Coturnix japonica: one gene and its partners. The protein of the gene in region 1 interacts with the protein of each later gene in a pairwise test. Links are inferred from orthologs where the notes say so. Each region holds a gene or a part of one and is shown on either strand. Other genes may lie near its edges.

Region 1 (5,355 bases):
GGTTTAGCTGGGGCTTAGTTATCAGCCACCTCTGATCTGCTCAGCAAGCCACTTTGCCTTCCCCCAGAGCAGCCGGGCAGCAACAGCATGGCCTGCTCCCCCCCCAGCTTATCCAGGCCCCAAAACACAGGCCCCCACCCCACAGCCCCTGAACAGTCACTGCAGGACTCAGCCTGAGGGGCAGCACAAGGACGGACAGACAGACAGACAGACAGACAGACAGACAGACAGACAGACAGACATCATACTGAGGGTGCTCCAGCAGCTCCCTCCCTCCCCACAGCCCTCCCAATTAATTTCTCAAGGGAGTGGGAGGAGCCCATGAGCCACATTAATTAATGAGGCAGAGGAACCTGGTCTCCAGGAACCATATGGAGGCAGTTTTTAATGTTCAGCCATCCACCACTGCCTGCACCCGGCCAGAAGCAGCTGGGAGTCACGGGAGCGGGGTGAGAACAGAGTCCAGTTTGTCTGCAGCTGCCCCACAAAGGGGACGGACAGACAGACAGACTGACCCACCAGTCCCAGCATGGCCTGGGGGCTGAGCTGTGGGCTCCAACCTCTCCTGAAGGGCTCATCCTGCATGGAGCAGGCACGGGTGGGGAGGAATCAGGGCATGGGCACCCCAGGGCTGCTTATAGAGCCTCCAAGTTGGGTGGTTTGGCAGTTACCTCCTGTGAAAGGTAGGGCAGAACCTGCGCACAGATCCCATTGAGCCTCTTGACAATTTCAGCCTGGAGAGGGGAAGAAAAAGAAACCAAGAAACAAACAACAGAGAGGAATAGTGTGAGGGGACCCACAGCACCTGGTTTAGGCAAACACTGGGAGATGGCAGTGAGGAGCCACGGCTCAAGTCCTGCAGCTCAGCCAATAGATTTCCCTCCCGAGGTGATGGGATCAGAGGCTCTGGGTGTGTTTGAAGGGAGCAGAACGGCGCTAAGAGGCTTTGAGCTGAGCTGGGACACGTTCAGATAACCGTGACCGAGAGCTCAAGGAGCTCACGTTGTGAACAGCAGGTAATTAACCACTGCAGATCCTGAGCAGCTGAACCACCAGCAAGGGGAACAGGCAGACTCAGCCAGGCTACAGCAGAGCCTCCACCACGAGGTGCCCAGCACTGACTGCACCCAGCCCAGCTCAGAGCCAGAGCACCCCCAGCCGGGTCCCCCCTTCCAGAAGGGTTTGGAAAAGCAGCTCATGGCCACAATGATTATTTTTTTTTCCCCTCCCTGCATGAAAAGACGTTTTTATAAGGTCATGGGGTGGAAAAAATGTGAAGGTGCTCCCCAATGCCAGAGCTGGAGATCCCAAAATCAGTGCTGACGTTTGACATCCTGAAATGCCACTGAAGGGACAGAAGGCACAGCAGGCAGCCCACCCCCCCCAATACCTGTTTGTGCATCTCAATATTCAGCCCGTAGGACATCTCGTAGTACTGCGGAGTGGGGAAGAAGAGAACAAACAGACACGATGAGGACTCCAGCATGCAAAGAGACCCCCACATCTGTACCTTCCTGCTGCCCCCAGCCCAGGTGGGACCTCAACTAACCCAGAGCCCACTCAGCACCTTCACAGAGCCCTGGCATCACAGGGAGAGCTCAGTGCTCTGCTGGGAACAGGCACAGCCCGGCTCTGTTTGCTGTGCCTGGCCCATCTCCTAACGCCCACGTGGCTGCTCCGGCAGCAAATGGAAGGGCTCAGCCCTGTGCTCCAGCTGCACACAGCTCCAGCTGCTTGGGAAGGAGCTGCAGGAAACACACACGCAAAATAACCCACCCCCCTCACACAACAGGCAGCTCCAGTGCAAGCTATTGGCACGGGAAGTCAATTCCTGAGCACTCCAAGTTTGCTCAAGCAGCAGAGCAGCTCTGCACACAGACAGCAGCTCCCTGCTCACACCCTGCATGTCCATCCTGCACCCACCGACCCAGCACACACACAGGGTGCAGAGCACGAGGAGCTCTGTTTGTTTGCACGAGGAGCCCTGTGTGCACGAGGAGCCCCGTTTGCACGAGCCCAGCAGCAGCAGCACCTGCTCCCCACCCACGCGCTGCCCCGGCAGCTCCTCACCATGACGTAGTGACGCTGCATCTCCGATTTCTCGCTGGCGAGTTTGTCGCATTCCAACTTCAAGCTGCAAAGGCAGAAAGCAGTGAGAGAAGCAGCAGGGCAGCGGGTTGCATCCTGGGTTGCATCCTGCAGGGTCCATCCCAGCCTGTTGTGTGCCCAGTGCAGCTCAGCAAAGCAACCAGATCCTCCTATACTGGGGAAGCCCAGGTGCAGTGCAGGCCTCTGGAATGATGCCTTTTCCCCCTTTCCTTTGGGTTCTTTGCACCCTTAAGAGCAGACGTGCTGCTCGCTGTGCTCTGTGCAGCTCCCCAGCCCGGCAGCTGCAAGCAGCATGTGCTGGTTTTATGTTTCAAACAAGAAACAGCTTCACCTCCACCAAACCTGCTGCTCTGTGAGCAGATCGGGTCCTGCAAGGGGGGGCCACAATGCTGCACGATGCAGAGCTCGGGGAGGTGGGAGCAATAGGGAAAGGGCAACACACGGAGCAATGGTTTGGTGCATGCGTGCAGCTAGGAAGCAAACAGCAAGAGAGCCCATCGGCAGCCAGCTTTTGGGTCAGCAGAAGCCATTCCGCAGGCGGAAAAGCGGAAGCATTTGGCTTTAAGTGCTCCCTGCAGCATTTGTGAGCCAAGAATGGCAGCCAGCAGGGAGAGGGGAGGAAAACTCCCAGCGAGAGGAGGGAGGGCTGGAAGAGCTGCACATGGATGGAGGGATGGAAGAGCTGCACATGGATGGAGGGATGAAAGAGCAGCACATGGATGGAGGGATGGAAGAGCTGCACAGGGATGGAGGGATGGAAGAGCTGCACAGGGATGGAGGGATGGAAGAGCAGCACATGGATGGAGGGATGGAAGAGCTGCACAGGGATGGAGGGATGGAAGAGCTGTGCATGGATGGAGGGATGGAAGAGCTGCACAGGGATGGAGGGATGGAAGAGCTGTGCATGGATGGAGGGATGGAAGAGCTGTGCATGGATGGAGGGATGGAAGAGCTGTGCATGGAGTCCTGCATTGGGGTAAGACCTGGCTGTGGGGGAGGCAGAGCGTTCTCCTTCCTTCTCCTTCCAGAATCCCACCTTTTGGGCAGTGAGCAGAGCGTTCCCTGCCTGGATTGCAGCTTTTGGCCAACTCTGGGCCGAACTGCGTGGCCAAAGGAAAGGAAGGCAGCAATGGGTGCACACCGGGCGTCCCCCCCCCCTCCTTGGGATGCTCACATCGGTCCTCCAGGTGGGACCTGGAGGTGATACCGGCCTGGGGAGGCTGAGCCTGGGGGTAAACCTGTGCTGGGCTGGGAGGGCAGCGCGTCGTGCCGCACGGAGCCCATCTCTTGGCCACGCTGCGTCCCGGTCCGTGCAGGGCAGCGATGCCAAAGCGGAGGATCCCAGCTCCGGGCGCACTGCGGACCCCCCCGGGATGCTCGGGGCGGTCGGTGGGGGCGGTACCGGCACGTACCTGTGATACTGGGCCTGCAGGAGCTGGAACTCGTCCTTGATGCGGTCGCACGAGTCGGAGGTGGTGAACTTGAGCTGCTGCGGCAGGTGAGAGGAGCCCTTGAACAACACACACAGCGCTGCACACCCAATGGGGGGCCCGCAGCCCTGCCCGCCCCCCCACCGCAGCCCGCCGCCGCCCAAGGTCACCCGCACCCCCCGCTCCGGTTCCCGGTGGCTGCGGGCGGGCAGGGGGCGGCTCTCGGTGCTCCCCCCCGTCCTTCCCTCCTTCCTTCCTTCCTTCCTTCCTCGCTCCTCCCGGTGCCGCCGTACCGAGTGTCGGCTTTGTGGAAACATCATGTCAGGCTGCAGCCCGTTCCACCGCCCGCAGCGGTCCCCTCGCCCCGCTCCGCTCCGCTCCGCTCCGCTCCGCTCCGTTCCGTTCTTTCCCCGTCCGCCTTTGTCCGCGCCGGGCCCGGCCCCGCGGCCGCCCCGCGCCGCTGTGCCCCGAGCCGCCGCCTATTGTCTAATGGCGGCTGCGATCCGCTCCGTCCTGCGGCTGCTCGGCACCACCTGCCGCCCCGCCGCCGCCTCCCCGGGCCGGGCGGGCCCACGGCCGTCTCCGCCCCCGCCGCGATCCGGGCGGTGCGGGGCGCTCAGCTGCTCCCCCCCCCCCCAATTCCCCCCCCCCCCCCCCCCTCGCCCCCCCCCCCCCCCCCCGGGATCGGGGGGGGGGGGGGCGCCCAGCTGCCCCCCCCCCCCCAATTCCTTCCTACCCCCCCCAGCCGTGATGCTCTGCCCCCCCCACGCCCACCCATCCCGACCCGGTGCCGCTCAGACCCCGCTCCGTGGGACCCTCCGTGGGTCTGGGGTCTGCGCTGTGTCCCAGAGCCCCGCACCTGCTGCGGGCATCGTGGGTGCGAGAAGGGCTTAGAGTGGGGTCGGCCTTAAAGGGCATCCAGTTCTCCCCATCACCATATTGCTATCAGGCAGGTAAAAGTCACTCCCCCTCCTCCCTGTAAGCCCCCTCCCCAAGTACTGGAGGGCTGCAGTGAGGTCTCCCCGGAGCCTCCATGGCTGCTCCATCAGCACGTTTCCATAGCAGAGGATCTTTGGTGCTCAGAGCTCAGAGCATCCCACAGCCTGATCCCAGACCTGGATGCATCACTGCAGGTGGGTCCCCACAAGGGCTGAGCAGACGGGACAGTCCCCTCCCTGCCCTCTGCCCCCCCATAGTTGCAGCGCAGGGGGGTCTGTAGGACCACCACGACCACAGATCCCAAGCTATGACCATCCAACCACTTCCTTACCCACCAAACAGCCCACCCTTCAAACCCACCTCTCTCCTATTGAGAGAAATGGGCACAGTGTGGGGCCGTGCAAAGGCCCTGCACAACTGCAGCCTGTGCCCTTCCTTTGTCCACCAATGCCATCAATGGAGGCCACCAGATGGGCCAGACACGTCTGCCCTTGGCGTTCCTTGTTCACCTATTGCTTATGGTTCTTGATGTGATGCTGCAGGAGCTGAGCACCCCAGCAGTGTGGAGCTCACCATCACAATTTGGGGCTCACTATCACAGTACAGGACTCACCATTGCAATATGGGGCTCACCATTGCATTATGGGGCTCACCATCACATTGCATGCCCCAGTATCACAGTGCAAGGCTCACCATCACAGTGCAGACCCCACCATTGCAATGCAGGGCTCAGTTTTTGACTTGCAATGCCCACAGCAAAGCATTGCTTCTTCTCTTCTCTCCTTTGCTGGAAGAAACCATGCCCAGAGCAGCACCTCAGCAGAGCCCCATCCATGGGCAGAGGCTGCAGTGCTCCAGTGAGCAGAGAAAGGCTGCT
Region 2 (5,338 bases), on another chromosome or scaffold:
ACAGGACCTGGAATGAAGTTAATCTCCTGAGCTGTAAGAATGACTGGAATGGGGCAAAAGATTCTTGTTTTGAGCTCTGTAAGAACAAAACTATCTGAGACCAGGAAATTAGCACAGAAGAAACTGTGTCCTGATCCATACCTGGATTCTGCAGTGCCTTTGTGGCTGCATTGGAGTCAGGTCTGGAGCAAATCTTGGCAAGTGTTGGGAGCTGCTGCTTCTGTCCTGCAGTTTGACTTTCTGCCATCAGAGCTGGCACAGCTGTGCTATTCTTTGCAGCACTGACAGTGCCATTCTGGAAGAACTCTTTCATTGTCTTGCTTTCCTCAGCCATGAGTTGCCTGTCTGGACCTTTGGCAATATCTGTGTGCTTCAGCAGCAATGGCATCCCCAGCTTGTTGCCCTCTGTGCTACCAGCACCTGTTGTGCTGTTGTCCCCCAACCCCTTGGAGATCCTGGGAGAGCTTGTTGAACGCAGGAGGTTGGTGATGGTGGATTTAGCAGAAAGCTGAGCATCGCAGAGAGCTCTTAATTTCATCTCTCTTTCTCTGTTTCCAATCACTGCTCTGTATATGCTCTCAAGTCCCTCTGTTTCATCTAGCAACCAGTCCCTGTAAGAATGTGAAATATAGGGATTCTGTTGAGAGCTTGACATTAGATTGAACTCATTTTCTTGACTGCTTCTATGCCTTGCATTTCTGTTTCATTTATGCTCCGTTTAAGCCTCGAGTATTCCTTCTCAACCGGAATGAAACCTACCTCCAGGACACTGTTCTTCTCCAAAGAACCACATAAAATGGGAAAATTAAAACAAAATCTGAACTTAACACACCTATTTGGGAATAACTGAAGTTGGGTGATGGCGTTTCAGACTGGAAGCCATGAAGTCCTCTAGGACTTACAGTGGGGTGGCTGCCAGGGCTGAACAATGCTGTGTCTCTAAGGCACAACTCAGTGTTTGTAGTGGTTCCCTACTCAAAATCCTCCTTTAAATTCCACGTTGCTCTTTCACAGCCAGGTATGTTCAATAACTTAACGTATCATCCATTTACTCTCCTCAGCTTGAGGGGAAGTGATGCTCTGTGCATGCACTGTACAGATACATATATAGTACATAAATGGATTGCTAATATTAGTGAAATCTGGATAGTTAAATGTAGCTAATTATCTCTAATCATAGGATCACCATAATTGGCAGGATGCTGCTTTATCTCCCTATTTTTAAAGAACAGATACCTTAAAATCCTCAACAAACCTATACTATGGGCATAAAAATAGAAAATTGCTGTCATTTCCAAAGAAAGCTTATTTTCTACAATGCTTTATCCCATCTTTCACTGGGATTCCTCTCTCCATTGGTGGTTGCAGCCACCTCCGAGGCTGGAGGTGGACACCTGACCTCACCTGTAGGGATTTTAAGGAAGTTCCCTTGAATTCTGTACAGCGATTTGGTTTCATTGCTTCAGGTTTGGTATTTTTGGAAGGTTCATTGACTCAGGGGGGTGTCTTTGAATAGCTGGTGAGCAATGAACTGCACTGTGTGAGTGTATGCTGAGGGCACTTCTTTGCTGAAGAGCCTGTTTGCTGAATGCAGGGAAATGCTGCTGGCAGAAAGGGTCAGAGCAGCTGCCCAAAGTAACTCAAAGATCAGCAGGAGAACAATGAATCATTTCTCTGACCCTGAGGAAGGTGCTTTAGCCACTGCGCTTTGCTGGCTGTTTAATTTCATCTTAGTTGGAGGTGTTGAGTTTGTTACAGGTCCTTGCTGGTTGTCCCAAATCGTTCTTATCTGCTTCCTCAACCCCATTACAGTGGCGTGAGGGTGGGCTGCAGGGTGGGCTGCTCTCACTGCATTAGATTAATTGCTAAAAACTGAACCTATATATTTCTAATGGTGGCTTTGCTTATGTCGTTTAATAGTTCACAGTGGTTTATACCTTATCTCTTTGCTTGGACTTCCAAGCAGCTGGCATGACCAAGTTACGTGGCTGAGCTTGTGCTAATTGTCAAGATGTTTCAGCAGCATAAGTTGACCTGCTGCTGTAGGCCAGTGCAAGTCCATTGGCTTCACTGGTTATTCTTGGGTTGTTTGGTTTCACTTTGTGCATTTATTCTAGGCCAGTTATTACTGTTATTGTTATGGATATGGAAGGGAAAGGAAAGGAGTCAGGGCTCCAAGATGTACTCCCTGGGTTTCACAGTGACACAGCATAGGGCATTTCCCCTTCTGATCCTCCACGTCTTCAGCTAAAAGCATCGAATTATCAGCTTTCTCAATCTGTGATGTTAGTCTTAAAAGATACGACAGCTGTTTTTCACTGTATCAGGCAAGATGTGTGACTTAGGCTTTAAGAAGTGGACACGAGCTAATAACTTGCTGATTGATAGCTGGACATGTAAATTTCACTCTTTTTCTACTTCAGGAGCATACAGTAAATATTATCCCATTAATCTGAAGAGCATCCTTCCCTCCCTTATCACCATTTGTCCCGCAGAACATGATTTGGCATAATTTTTTCTGTGCTAAATTCAGCTTCTCTTTGTAAAGATCAGCTGTTTACAGTAGCTTCCTTATAACACTTTAATTTTCGATTTTGTTCCTTTTGAATGCTGCTTTCACTTCTTCCTGTAAATATTTTGATGTGTGTGTAGTTGTTTTGCTTTAAATGTTGTGGGGAAGCAAAAGCAGCAGCTGCTTGTGGTGCTTCAGATTTTCAAGTAGCTGGCTTTCATGGGACAAGCTCTCCCAAAAAGACTGGTTATATTGGGACAAATGGGGATACTCTGTCCCATTAAGAGGCTGCCCAAAGCCAACACAGCACCCCTGTGCTCCAGCTCTCTGTTTCTAGGGGTTATGAGGGCTCTGTTGGAGTCAAGCCCCTTGTCCTGCAGTGCTGGTGGTCACTCACCCGCTGTGGGCACCGTTCTTGCTCCATGGGGGTCCCTGTGGGTCCATGCAGATGATGGGCTGAAGCTCCTCGGGGGGGCTCTGCATCCGTTTCCAGATCTCATGGCAGGCCTTGTCCAGCCCGTCTTGGGGCGTGTTGTCGTGGATCCAGATGTGCCGTGGGTATGGCCCCAGTGGGAACGGCCCCTCTGATTTCACTGCTGGGGCTGCAAACCCATTTATGCTGGTGAGCATCCTTCAGCCTCTATGCATCCAGGCTATCTTCTTGAGTGGTGTTTTGTTTACATGGCAAACGGAAAGAAGAGCCGTGGCAACCACGGAACGCCAGGTCCTGGCAGTTGATAACTGAAATATCTGCTTGTCCTTGGCACAGCTGGGAGCTTCCCCTCTCATAAACTAGATCCCTGTCTTTCCAGGGTCAGCATTCAGCTGTCCTGCCCCCTTCTTTCTGTACTGGAGCTTTGCCTCTTCCATTTAATGCGCAGGTGATGAAGCTCCAAAGAGCGCATGGCTCTGCTCACTCATGCCTCTGCCCAGATAAATGTTATTTTCTCCCTACCAATAGTGATGATATGGTTAAGAAAGAGTAAAATGTGGTAGTTAGTAAGATGTTTTGCATTCCTATGCTGGATGACTAGTGGTGAAACTCTCTCAATTCCTGGCATAATTCCCTAAGTGTGAATGGTTCTGTGGTTCCTCATTCATCACCAAGGGTTGTGTTTGTGATCTTCATTGGGGGGAAGAGAGAAAGGAGAGTCCAAGGGACATGGGTTGGGGTTTGTGCCTGGTATTGGCATTTGTTCTATGTGCCCTTGCCAAGCTCTCGGGTTCTCAAAGTTCACTGTTTGGGCAGGGAGGAGAGATGAGTTGCAGTGATAGATGTTGGCTATGGTGATGGATTCTACGTTCATCACACTGCATTTAGCAAATAAATACTTTTTATTCTTAAAGAGAGAGTAAGCTTTCGTTGCTAGGTGTGGGGCCACGCTTAGTTGGGAGCCCTTCATTTGCAATAGGTATGGCGTTATTGCCCAGGAATAAAGTGGGACTGTGTCTCCTCAATGACTCGATTATGCTGGCTGCTTGCTCCCGGTGCGGGGCTCCAGACCTTGGCTCGGCTGTGCTCTGCTGTGTGCAGCAACCCAGTTGCATCTCCGGCTACAGCCTGGGGGTTGGGGGCCGAGGTGGATGGCTGTGTAAGGGAGAAGCGATGTATAGAGCTGTCAAGTGTGGTACCCTGTTCTGTGATCCTTTTCGATTTGGATCCGTGCCTTTGAACAATAAGGTCTATTTGAATAGGACACTGCAGTTTAAGCAGACATAAAGCAACTCTTTCATGTAACAGCGCTGGTTGCCTTGGCTCTTGGCATTGGCTCACAGTGTAGGCAGTGGAAGGATTCAAATGCAGAGGGGACACAGGGAAAAGGGAGCGAGAGAGAGGCTGGATCCGAGGGCGGAGGGGCAGATTTGCGAGCCCTCGATATCATTTGTTTTTAAGCTGTCAAATAAGCTCATTCAGGGCAACCGGAACGAGCCCCAAGAAGGGGGTTTTGCAGCAAAGCAACTGCAGCAAAAGCAGGGCGGGGGTTGGGGGCGGCCCCGAGCCGGGCTCGGCTGCTTCGCCCTGCTCCGTGTCGGGGGGAGATGGGGAGGATGCGAGTCTCGGTGCTGCGGGATGGGGCTGCTGCTGGCCGAGGGGTGGTCGTTGGGCAGTTGGTTGCTGGGAATTTTGGGGGGGCGGGGGGAAACGAACGACTTCTCAGGGTGTTTTTTTTTCCTTTCTGTTAAGCTGTAGTGTCACGTAGTTGTTGTTTTTCTTGTCCGCGGATCTGCGCATCATCGCCACGATAATTAAGTTCCTCACTGTATCTTTTAAAGACCGCATTTTTTTCCTCCCCCCCGTATCTTGCATGCAGCCGTAGGGACAAATGGGCTAACAGACGCTTAAAAAACAACCAACAAGGTGGGGGTTAGAGGAGGATGCTGCTCTCAGCCCGGTCCTGGGGGGGTTATGGGGGGGCTGGCTCAGCCCGTTCCATTGCCCAGGACAGGTCAGAGCCTGGGGCTGGTCCCTTTTATGTTCCGCATTTACCCAATTTTGCTTCATCACCAAAATCGTGTCAATATCATCAAGTTGTTTACCGGGGGGGGGGCTGTGCTGCTTCCCAGCTGATGTCTTTGTAGCGGAGATGCTCTATGTGTGTCCGTGGGCAAAATGGGGGGGGCTGCCACGCCAGAAACCTGTGGCGTGCATTAAAAAACAAATGCCTAAACATGCTAAAGCGTAATTTGCGGCTTGCTGGTGGTGCTGGGGCGGGGGCTGGTGGGAGGATTGCGTTGGGTCCAAGGAAGCAGAAACGAGGCAGATCTGCTCGCTGTTTGCACGGCAGCCCCTCATGGCATCGTCCGAGCCCCCTCCCAGCATTTAGA
Region 3 (5,372 bases), on another chromosome or scaffold:
ACACCTGGATGTGATGGGGTATGTACTAACAGAACTCCATCCTTAGCCTTGTCCAAAAAGCAGTAAAAATGGCCATCCTAAGAGCTGGGCTTTCAAGATCAATGCAACTACTACAAAGGATATATTTTAATAGTCCAACCAATGTGTGATTTTATCACTGTATGCAGAACTATGAAGAGTTACCTCGCTGCTATGCAGACATAGCTTGCTACACCTCACTAGGTCAGCTCCCAGCACCAAAGCTCAGCACACACAGGTTTACAGGCAGCTCCCATGTGCAGCAGCACGGACCGCAGAGCAGCAGTGCTCCAGCACACAGCCCTCTAACAAACCCTTTTGCCAGGCACTGGAAACATGAAGCAAGCCGGTGGTCTGAGGTCTTTCAGGTGGAAATTGTTTCCTGCTCCAGCAGGAAAAGAAAACAAAAAGGAAAGAATCCTGCCAACAGCTCTGCTAAGAACCATGAGGGTCTCTCCAGCCTTCTGCTGTATGCCACTTGTCCTTCCAACTGGAACCTGGGCTTGGAGGTGTGTCTGCCAATCCATCTGTGAACTAATTCATCACATAGAAGTGACAACAGGAACAAATTTGGCCTTCTAATTCCACAGTCCTACAACAAAAATTCGTGTATGACGTATTCATTTTCCTTGTTCTTTCTTAAATTGTGCATTCAGCCTCACCTTGTCGCTACAGGAACCTGAAGCTGTCAGCTCATCTGCTGCACAGCCCTTAGTCCCACAAGCAATGTTCCTGCAAAGCTTGAGCACTTTTACATCTGAAACTTGCTGTGTCTCATGGATACAATAGCTAATTTTGGACTTACCCTACTCCTGCTGGGCCAGAGTCATCGCTGGCATGGCTCCACCGTAATTCAGCCTACTGATGCATTACAGACAATGCACACCATGATCTAATCCTTAATGATGTTTTTTCCCCTTTCGCCTCCCTTCAACATACTTACTTACCTAACTAATAAAACAAGATACGAAGCATTAACTTTAAAGAAAATACTGAAACCACACTAGAATTGTCCTGAAAATGCTAATTTGGAGTGACAGGGTGACCAGATTTGTAGATACGTCAGGACAAACAGCACAGCCCAGAGGAGAGGACACAGCCCAAAGTCACAGACCTTGCTCCAGCTTTGCCACCACCCCCATTCTCCGATACCTAAGTATCAACCCCTCACTGTGCTGCTGCTGAGGGCCCAGAACAAAGTAACTTAACAACCACCACTTGCACCTTTGTAATGCCTGTATTAAACAATACCAAATGTACACAGGAAGTGTTACTCTAAAAATCTAGTACTAAGACCAAAGGAGCTGGTGTCAAAATATGCTGATACTCCCCAAGCAGCGAGGTTTAGGACATACAGGATCCAGACTCTGCATTACAAGTGGGTATGAAATGTTATAATTCCTGCATGGTTTTCTTATAGCTGAGCACAGTCTATGAGAAGCATTAGCTTCTGCACAGCAGGCTCTTCCAGGACCATCTCTGGAGGTGATAATATTTACGACTTGTGACATCTGCTCGCATTGTTACTTATTTTACAGCTTCACAATTATTTTGCTCAACTGAAGCATCCTATTGCACCCATCTCTTTGCTTCCTTTGAATCACAAAATACCAAACTCTCCCTCCCTTACGCTACAACACCTTGTTGCTAGTAAAAGAATCATCCACAGGCTTCATGCTCTGTTCATCAGCAATGAGGCACAGTACCAGAGTCATATCAGCAGGGCTGCTCAAGTCATTTTCTTCTTCCGAAGAGGTATTTAAGGGAAGTGGTTTAGATAGGGCACTATCTGTGAGGGATCCACACTGCTTACCAAGAATTTCAAAATAGAGGTTATATTACGTTTGTTACCAGGGGCAGCTCTGCACGCGTAGCTCCCTTCTTCAGCTAGAAGAGGAAGCCTGAATAACTCTAACTAATAAAGGCGAGGGGCTGGTTGTATCAGTGTAAAATCTCAGCCACGGTCATTCAGCACTAGAATATCAGGAGAATTCTTTTTTGTTGTTGAAAAAAACAAAAGCCAGAACAACAGAAAAAAGAAAAAGAAAAACAAAACCCAAGCCCTACAGTCACTGGAAGAAAAATTTCAGAGTTCTAAATGCCCACATTTCTAAGCTACTTGCTTCACTTCTTCATGCAACAGATGCTGCTTTGTATTAGCTACTGCATATTAAATCATTCTGACAACCAAGAAAGCATACATTTGTTTGCGCGAGAGAGGAGCATGAATACACACACACAGCTATCTTCTCACGCAGAAGCACACAATTATGCAGCATTCAAATATTTGGAATGAACTTTGGCCCGTGTTTCAAACAACAACCAAAAAAGTGCCCCTCAAACAACGACCAATACCAGCCCCAGCAGTCATCTGGCCCCGCACACTGAAATCAACAAACCCTCAGCAATAAAGCACCGCCTGTGGCCAGCTAGATCTGAAAGTTACGGGCAGGATTTTCCTTTGATGGGATACTTACACACACGTCCTTCATGATTTACAATGGGCTCAAAGAGCTCAAAATGAAGGCTAAAAATAAAATCTACGTTAACACAACATTTAGTATGTATGCACATGGGTTATATTCACCCTTTGGAACAATCCCCTTCAGCAATGCCATTTGTGTTCCCAATCTAAAAAGCGATTGGAAAACACACACACAGCAGGGCTCTCAATCACCTCTTCGTCTGTCCAGCTAACATGGAAACAAGCAAGCGACCCAAACAAACCATTTTGCTTATAGTTTATCAAAAATAAACAAATCTTCCCCTAACAACGCCGGAGAACACGCTGAAACTTCTGACCACGAGTACCCACAACACGCAGAGCTGTTATCCACAACTTTTTCTCTTCATCTCAGCCCTATTTTCTGCCCTCATCCCCTCGCACTTTCTCCCTCTCCCGTTATTACACAGCGCTCCCACCCGCCGCCACTTTCTCCTCCGTGTAACCGCACTCTCTCGGATGGGCGCAGCGGGCGCCCAGGCCCGTCGGCCCCGCCGCTACCTGGGGATGGTGATGCACTTGGTGTTGATGTTCTGCGTGGTGATCGCCTTCTCCAGCTCGTCCAGCTGCCCCGTCTTCTTCAGCTTCTTCACCAGGCTCTTCACCGCCTTCTCGCACCATTTCTCCTCCTGCCCGTTCTGCTCTCCTTTCTTCCAGCCCAGGAGCCGTTTGACGATGGGAGGGGTGAACGGCAGGATGGAGGACATGCTGGCTCTGCCGGCAGCGCCCCGCCGCCCCCTGCTCCGCTCCGCGCCGCGCAGGCCCCGCGGGCAGCACAAAGCCCGGCCCCGCTCCGCTCCGCTCCGCCGCCTTCAGCGCCTCGGGGCCGCGGCACCAAACTTTGCCCGGAGTTCGCCGCCTCTCTCCGGCGGCGGCGGCGGCGGCAGCTCCCTCCTCCTCCCCCTCCTGCCCCGCTCTGTGTGCGAGGAGAGGCGCCCACTCCAGCTCATTCCCAGTCTGTCTCTCATGCAAATTGCCTGCTGGCCGCCCCGGCCCGGCTTCCACCCCCTCCTTCCCTCCCAAACACGCTCACTCACGCCGCCGGGGGAGGGCGGGGAGGCGGCCGGCCCGCCGGGAACTCCGCTCCCCCCTCCTCGCTCGGGGCTGGGGCCCCTCGGCTCTCGGCTCTCCGCTCTCAGCCCCGCTACGGCGCCGGGAAAGGCGTCCCCTGAGCGGCGCGGCCTTCCCACCTCACAGCGCGACCCTCAGGGCCCCCTCAGCGTGGGGACCCTCAGCCCTGGCTGTTTTCTGTGGAAAAAGGAAGAAAAATAACACAAACAAGTGCCGCACGTCTTTCCACGCAGCTGAGCACCGCTCAGTCAGCCTTGGACAATCAGCAGTTTCAACTCCTTCAATTTACTGTTCTCTTCCTTCATCCTCCCACTCTGCAGACTGGGGACCCGAATAATTTTCGCCCTGTATCATCTCCAGTGTGTCGTTTGAGCCTGTTTACCACCAGACCTGGTCAGAAATTCTCAGACGGAACATTTTGGTCATTGAGCCGCTGTGTGTTCAGCTCTAGGTGCTTTGCAGAGAGGCTCTTGTTTTGCACTAACTCAGGACGGCATCCAGGTGAATGCCCAGCTCCTCCCTTTCCACTGCTGGGCAGACAGGGCCGCTGCCCGGCCTCCAGCATTGCCCCCTCATGCTGAAAGGGAGCCCACCCAGATACAAACAGCAGCTCCTCAGTGCTCCGATCCTGTGGTAAATCGCCCCAAAACGATGCTGAGCAGCACACAGCAGCCTGGGGCCACCTGCAGAGTCACCGGGTGCCTCCACCGAGGCCAGTTCGCTTTTCTGCGCTCCAGCTGCACGCAACAGCCATCCAGGAACAGGGGGTGAAAGTTTCAAGGCCCAAATTCTGAGGTTTTGAGTTGAGAAATGCTTCCCAGCTTCCTCCATCCTCCCAGACGGGATGATGGGGAGCGGAATCTGGGAAGCCTCCGGGGCTGCTCGGCAGCTCCCAGACACCTACAGCTCTTGCCAACCCACGTTCTCCAGTTCCAGGTTCCAGTACAACCCAGTGGGGAGACTCCTCGAAAGCCAGCATCCAAAATTCCCTGTGTGTACAGATTCAAAGCAGCCAGCTATACGGATTGCCTTGTGGCAAGTTAGGAACCTATGGGTTCAGACAGCGTCTGATGCTCAAAGGCAACTGGCCTGACTTTCACAAGGGGTTTAAAAACAGACAGTGCCCTTTGTTCCAAACTGACAGTACCAACTTCTGAAATATCAATATTTGGTACAAATTAAACACTCTTTCTCCATCATTTTTTTCCCCCATTGCTCTCATATTATTCCCAACACACATTCCCCGAGTGTCTTGAATTTTGGAGGCTCACCACTAAAATTTTGGAGCATTGCCTTGACCCAGTTTTTGGCTGCTTCGATTGGGATGCCTGAAGTACAGAGACGTGGAGCCCCCATAGAGGATCCCAACATTGCTTGGGGAAACAGTTCCTCAGCACCTCTAAAACAATGCAACAAAATGTTGTCACTAATAACTCTAAGAGCAGGATGCCCAGTTTTCTTACTGACAGTGGCTGGTGTCATTGCTTTGCTGTGCATTTATGTTTTATCTGGGACCTAGTAACAGATAGCTGGAGGTCAGTTAACAAACTGAGCTTTCAGTATATATATATAAAGTAAGAGATCTGTCACAAACGTAGAGAATAACCTGAACACATGAACCAAGTAAAACACAGATGGAGGTATTAAAAAGAAAAAAGCATTTGAAGTATAAATCCTTACTGTGATTTTAGGTGTGGTGAAATTTAAAGCCGTCATTTTCTATTTTCCTACTTCTGGCTCAGCATGTTTTGCAACTGAAAGAATTACCTACACGCTAAAC
Region 4 (5,450 bases), on another chromosome or scaffold:
GTAAATTTGAACCCAATTGTGTTCATCTGGAATGCTGATTGCTCTGCAACACTAAAATTTCCATGTTTTTAAATACTTGATGAATGTCTGTCTTTTTCAGTCCACACAACTTGCCTTTTAGGTATGTCTGTTTGACGTACTGAGATGCAGTGAGCTGCATTATCACAGAAGAAGCCCAGATATTCCTTAGCTACATCCTATTTCTCAAGATGAAAAAGCAGCAAAGCAGGTTTTATTATTTTGGTAGTTAAAACTTAAAGGGCTTCTCATCCCTGCTTCTCAAACCCAGGGCTTTCAGTATTAATGTATTTCTTTTAAGAATTTCTTCTACATTTTTTAACAGTGTTTACTCTTGATATCTTACTAAAAACTAGTCTTGCAAATAAAATTCCGGACTTGTCACGTGTGACAAGAGTTGTGTACTGTAAGCAAGTTACAATGCAATGCTATGTTTGCTAAAGACAACAGCAGGAGTGTTGTGCATGGTTTTGTGACTGCTGTACTATTTATTCAAATAAATAAATAAATGATGATCACATGGTTTTCCACATCTTTTTTTTTCTTCGCTAAGTGGACAAATCAGAAAGATAACAGGCTTCAGCTGTCTGCTTTATCAAGGGTCCTAAATGCGTGGTGACCCATGTAGACCTAGCAAAGCAGTCTGGGAGAGCAGGAAAGTACACGATCAGAACTTGTTATTGGTTGGGGTACCACCAATTCCTTGGATTGTTCTTCAGTGGCTGTTTTCTAAGAAGCTGAGGTGTGTGCATGAGACGTGCTTTGAGAATGGATGGAAAGACTCATGGGACAAGATGCAGCTCTGGCACAGAATTTACTAGTGTAGTTCTGCAGAAGACTGGATGCTTCATGCACTGCTGATGATATTTTGGAAGAAAAATATGCCCATCCTCCATGTGTATTTGAGACTGTCCTTTGCCTTATCTTTCTCTGCATTGTGTCTGAGGCTTTTAAGAAAGAAACATGAGTTGCTAGTTGAAACAGGGAGTGACCTAATAACTACAGATCAATTTCCCATGTTTTAGTTGTTCCTACTCCCTCTGCCTGCTGATAAGAAACTATATTTCAGAAGTACAGCATTTCCATTAGTACTTCTTTTTGATTTTACTCCCTACATTTCTGGGCTGTGGCATGCACTCCTACATAGCATAGAACGTACTCTTAGTCTTTTCTGAGCTGATGAAATGTGCTTTTTTCTGCTTAGAGAATATGCTAAGTTTGTACTTCGACCACTAGACAGAATCACACAGAATCACAGAATGATTCCGGGTTGGAAGGGACCTCAAGGATCATGAAGCTCCAACCCCCCTGCCTGGCAGGGCCACCAAACACACACCTTTACTAGATCAGGTTGCCCAGGGCCCCGTCCAACCTGGCCTTGAACACCTCCAAGGACGGGGCATCCACAACCTCCCTGGGCAGCCTGTTCCAGGACCTCACCACTCTAGAAAGGTTTGGAGACTGAAGTTTTGGAGGTAAATTCTCCGTTATTAAGAATCCGTAACACCTGGGAGTCTGTTTTCATCTCACTTTCTTTCATCCTATTTAGCTCATGCAGAACTATTAGTTCTCATCTATGGTGTGGAGCTAAACACAGAAGTCAGTCCCTTAATAGTGTTAAAACAGACTGGCTTAATTAGCGTGGCTGTCTCCTGTCTTGTTCTGGGATTTCATTGAGGACTGCAGAGCTATTGCTTTTTCATTCTGGAAGACTTAACAACTGCAAGTGATACCTGGAAAAGATGTCCAGGGAAAGCAATGGCTGTGGAGAGCTTTTCCTCTTTAATCACTGGTAGAAAAGGAGAGGCAGAGTATCAGATCTGCTTAGCAGAGGTTACGCTTGTACCAGATGAGCGTCTGGGGCACTGGTGTGACTAACTGGCTGTCCAAGGACAAATGAGCTCATTTCCTTCTGCCTAGGTCCCCCTTCTGCCAGGTAGGAAGAAAAGTGCTGATCTGCCTTATAAAAAGCTTTAAGGACCATGAGTAAGAGGTGTAATGTACCATGATGATTTTATCTGTCACTGGATCTTTTATTAAAGGCAAAGAAAACATGCAGCGATGTGGACTAGCAAACGATGTGGTGCTATGAAACAAGGACAGTACCTTGCTTAATACTTTCTGGCATTTCAGGAGTTGTGAGGATGCATGCTTCCTGCATTTGTATTTCTGTTTATTGCAGTCACCAGCAGGAACTGAGCACGCAGACAATGAAGTTCCGCTTATGACTCTGCTTTCGTTTTCAAGTACTGTCAGTGCGGAGTGGTGCAGCTTCCACCACGCACAGTGTGCGTGCTTTGTGCTGCCCTGTGCAGTGGAACCGAGCCCCTGTGCAACTGCATCGCGCTGCTGTCTGAAGAGCTTCAGGAGAAATACTGAAGAATTGAATTGTAAGTTTGGGACTCTTTCAGGGGGAGTTTTGGTGTTGTTTTCTTCAGCTGTAGAGCTTCATGCTTTCGCATGGATTGTTCTTGCTGAGACAGTGTCTCTTCTGATGCCAATGACAAAATATTGCTCTTTGAAAAGCCTGATACTGAGCAAGGAAGCAAAAGTAAGTTTTAAGCTGGGTGCATGGCGCATGTTCTCTCTCTTGATTTATTCTGCTTTTTTGAAGGCAGAAGTAGTATCACCAGCCATCAAAACTGGGCTTTGTTCCCTGTTTGTGTGATCTGTTTAGAAAACTGTTCGTAGGAAATGTGCTTGTGCTGATGCAGAGCAGGGCTTTTGTCTTGTTGGGACAGGAAGTTCAGCAATTGAAACAATTTGGTAACGTCGGTGAGTGCTTGTGTATATCCAACCGTCGATTCTGATGTTGAGGACCGCGGTCCTCTCACCAGTGCTTTATATCACACATCAGGGATGATGTCAGACTGTGAGAAGACTGTGAGAAGTGAGGTGAGCTGAACTGGCTCACTAAAAGAATGAGTTGGTTTATCTGTTGTCGTTACATTGCAGCATGATGCAATGTAGTCCAGTTCTCGGCCTAGCAAAAAATTCACTCATCGGCACCACGGCAGGTGGTGCAATAGGAATACAACAGCTGTAGCTTTTAAAGTGAACAAGCTGTGACATCTCAGTAAAAGAGAACGAAGGACCGCATAAAACCATTTCGTTTGAATAGTTTACAATGTTAAAGCTCAATTTTATTAAGAAATTCCACTGTGAAATGCCACTGCAATCAATATTCAAACAGTTGTCTCCTAGAATGATCTCTCCTCCTAATAGTGATAAATAATTCATGCAGGAGGCCAGAGAAAAATAGCCTGTCAGTAACAGCTCTGGATAGTGAACTTGAGCGCTATGGGAAGTGTGGAAACTTGCAGGTGAGAATCAAATCTCCCATCCTTTCCAATTTCTCATTAAGCAATTAAACCCAAGGAGGAGTCCAGATCCCATTTTGTTCTGTTTCACGCTGTTTCTGCAGCAGGTTATCTTTTGAAAGGCCACTACCTAAGATCAAGCCTCACAGCAATGAGACTTGTCACAAGAGACTGCTGAAGTGCGCTAATTATTAGTAACGAGTAATGAGTCTATTAAATGCTAAGGAGCTGCAGTTCTTAGCCTCCGAAATGGCTTTTGGAAATCAGTGTAGGTGAACGCAAAGTGAAACATGTAGTGGGAGAACACAGTACTGATTCTACGGATAAGTGATGGGCTTAGAGCAGTGTTGGTATTTAGGAATAAGATCTTGGAGTTTTAATAGACAGTTCTGTTCACGTGTCAGCTCAATGCTCAGCAGTGATCAGTAAAGCAAACGATGATAGGAATTAGAGGAAAGGCATGCAGAACAATGCAGAGGGTATTGCGGACACCATCCTAAACCCGTGCAGTTCTGTTTCCTAGCAATTCAAATAGGATGTGGTAGCATTGGAGAAAGCTCATGGGCGGGCTGGGAAGTTCATGAGAACTAAATATTCTGACAGCACCAAATCACTAGGACTCCAGTTTTGGTTTAGAAAGGCTGAGCAGCAGGGTATTGTAGCTTGTGAGATTGTGTTAGGGAAGTAACTTGTGAACGCTTGCTTTGTTTTCTTTTTCCCTAAGCATCTGACTTTGGGTGCTGTAAGGGACAAGCAGCATCCAAATTATCTCTGATATCGGGTGAGACATTTTGTCTCACCCAGGATGGCCATTTTACCATTCTGACCAAGTGCGACACACAAGACCTAGTCCTTGGAGTGCATTAACTTTAGCTAGTGTGAATTCTTAATTTCAGACCCTTTCCTACAGGCTTCCAAATATTAAAGGTAGCTTTCTGACAAACAGATGAAAGGATGTGGCAGGCAGTATGCCTTATTTTGATGTGTAAATATCCAAAGGAAGTGCAAGGGATGTGCAAGTTGAATATTGCAGTGAAGTTGAGTTGGTAAGTTGTGGTTTATTACATAGGGCTTTAGAGTAAAACTGTCAAAGGCAAAACAAGTGCCAGAAACCTAATTTAAGTTGGACTTGAGTTTCTCTGTACTAATTACCTCTTTTCTCCTAGTTTGTCACATCTAGACAGCCTCATCTTAGATAGTTCAGTTGCTTCCCAGGCACTAAATGACTCAATTTCTCTTAAGTATCTTAGTTTATTATCCACGTTTCTAGTGACAGTGTTCAATTTTGCAGCCGTAATGACAGTAATTGCCTTGTGACTCTTTTTCCTTGGTCATTTTCTGGGCATTTTGTATCTAATTTGTTTGCAAGACCGATATACAAAAGTATTTAATTGCCACTTCCTACCAATAATCGTGGCTTGCCAAGATCAGTGTTAAAATACATGTTTGTAGTGGACTTTGACTGGAGCCTTTAATGAACACTGAGAGAGTCTGCAGAGGAGAACATTAGGAGACATCTTTGCCAGACCCTTCTTCATAGATCATTGCTGGTGGCAGTGAACTTCAGTTTGGTAGGACGTGTGGAGGGTTATACAGATCCCTGCTCCCACAGCTCCATTCCCTGCCTTCTGCTGTCCTGCACTGCTCCTAGCCATTTTAGAAAAGCCTGCCTTTAATATTGTTTGTTGGCAGGGTATTTCCATCTCTGTGTTGTGTGCTGCTGTTCTGCTTTCATTCAAAGATGGCTCGGCTGTGTAGGAAGGTCATTCTGCAGTCTCTGTGTAAAGTACAAATGGTTGAGAAGCTGTGCAGCTAAATCTAACATGAAGTTGAGGTTGTATACCCAGAAGGAAGCTGTGTTTTTTATACAACCATACCAGATGGTCTAGTAAAGGAAACTGCTTGTATTTGTAAGCTTGTGTCTAATTGAACTACTGCATTCTTGATTTAATTGTTCTTAAGTGTCGATCATTTTTATATGTATTGATATGTATTGATATCTAGAAACCGGAAGCTTTTTTTTTTTTTTAATGTAAATTGAAAAAAGATTTTACTAATTAATTCAGATGAAACAATTAGTTGGAATGAAGGCAAGTTTTTGTACGTAAGGAC

Evidence for each region.
Region 2: the proteins of TLE family member 5 (region 1) and C23H1orf94 interact in binary tests that used the Homo sapiens proteins (3 or more experiments, as listed by UniProt). The two-hybrid records come from large-scale screens. The link is inferred for Coturnix japonica from reciprocal best matches to the Homo sapiens genes TLE5 and C1orf94.
Region 3: the proteins of TLE family member 5 (region 1) and SMAD3 interact in binary tests that used the Homo sapiens proteins (3 or more experiments, as listed by UniProt). The two-hybrid records come from large-scale screens. The link is inferred for Coturnix japonica from reciprocal best matches to the Homo sapiens genes TLE5 and SMAD3.
Region 4: the proteins of TLE family member 5 (region 1) and PARVG interact in binary tests that used the Homo sapiens proteins (3 or more experiments, as listed by UniProt). The two-hybrid records come from large-scale screens. The link is inferred for Coturnix japonica from reciprocal best matches to the Homo sapiens genes TLE5 and PARVG.

What each region holds. Positions count from the first base shown.
Region 1 is NC_029543.1:644,013-649,367, forward strand, and holds the start of TLE family member 5, read right to left. Parts: upstream 4,086-5,355; 5' UTR 3,860-4,085; coding exon 3,833-3,859; intron 3,620-3,832; coding exon 3,522-3,619; intron 2,135-3,521; coding exon 2,071-2,134; intron 1,436-2,070; coding exon 1,391-1,435; intron 735-1,390; coding exon 672-734; intron 1-671. UniProt on the Homo sapiens protein: Transcriptional corepressor. Acts as a dominant repressor towards other family members. Inhibits NF-kappa-B-regulated gene expression. May be required for the initiation and maintenance of the differentiated state.
Region 2 is NC_029538.1:4,086,134-4,091,471, forward strand, and holds the start of C23H1orf94 (uncharacterized protein C1orf94 homolog), read right to left. Parts: upstream 3,229-5,338; 5' UTR 3,143-3,228; coding exon 2,910-3,142; intron 612-2,909; coding exon 142-611; intron 1-141.
Region 3 is NC_029525.1:17,035,424-17,040,795, reverse strand, and holds the start of SMAD3 (mothers against decapentaplegic homolog 3), read right to left. Parts: upstream 3,229-5,372; coding exon 3,023-3,228; intron 1-3,022. UniProt on the Homo sapiens protein: Receptor-regulated SMAD (R-SMAD) that is an intracellular signal transducer and transcriptional modulator activated by TGF-beta (transforming growth factor) and activin type 1 receptor kinases.
Region 4 is NC_029516.1:63,626,629-63,632,078, forward strand, and holds the start of PARVG (gamma-parvin), read left to right. Parts: upstream 1-2,222; 5' UTR 2,223-2,408; intron 2,409-5,450. UniProt on the Homo sapiens protein: Plays a role with ILK in promoting the cell adhesion and spreading of leukocytes.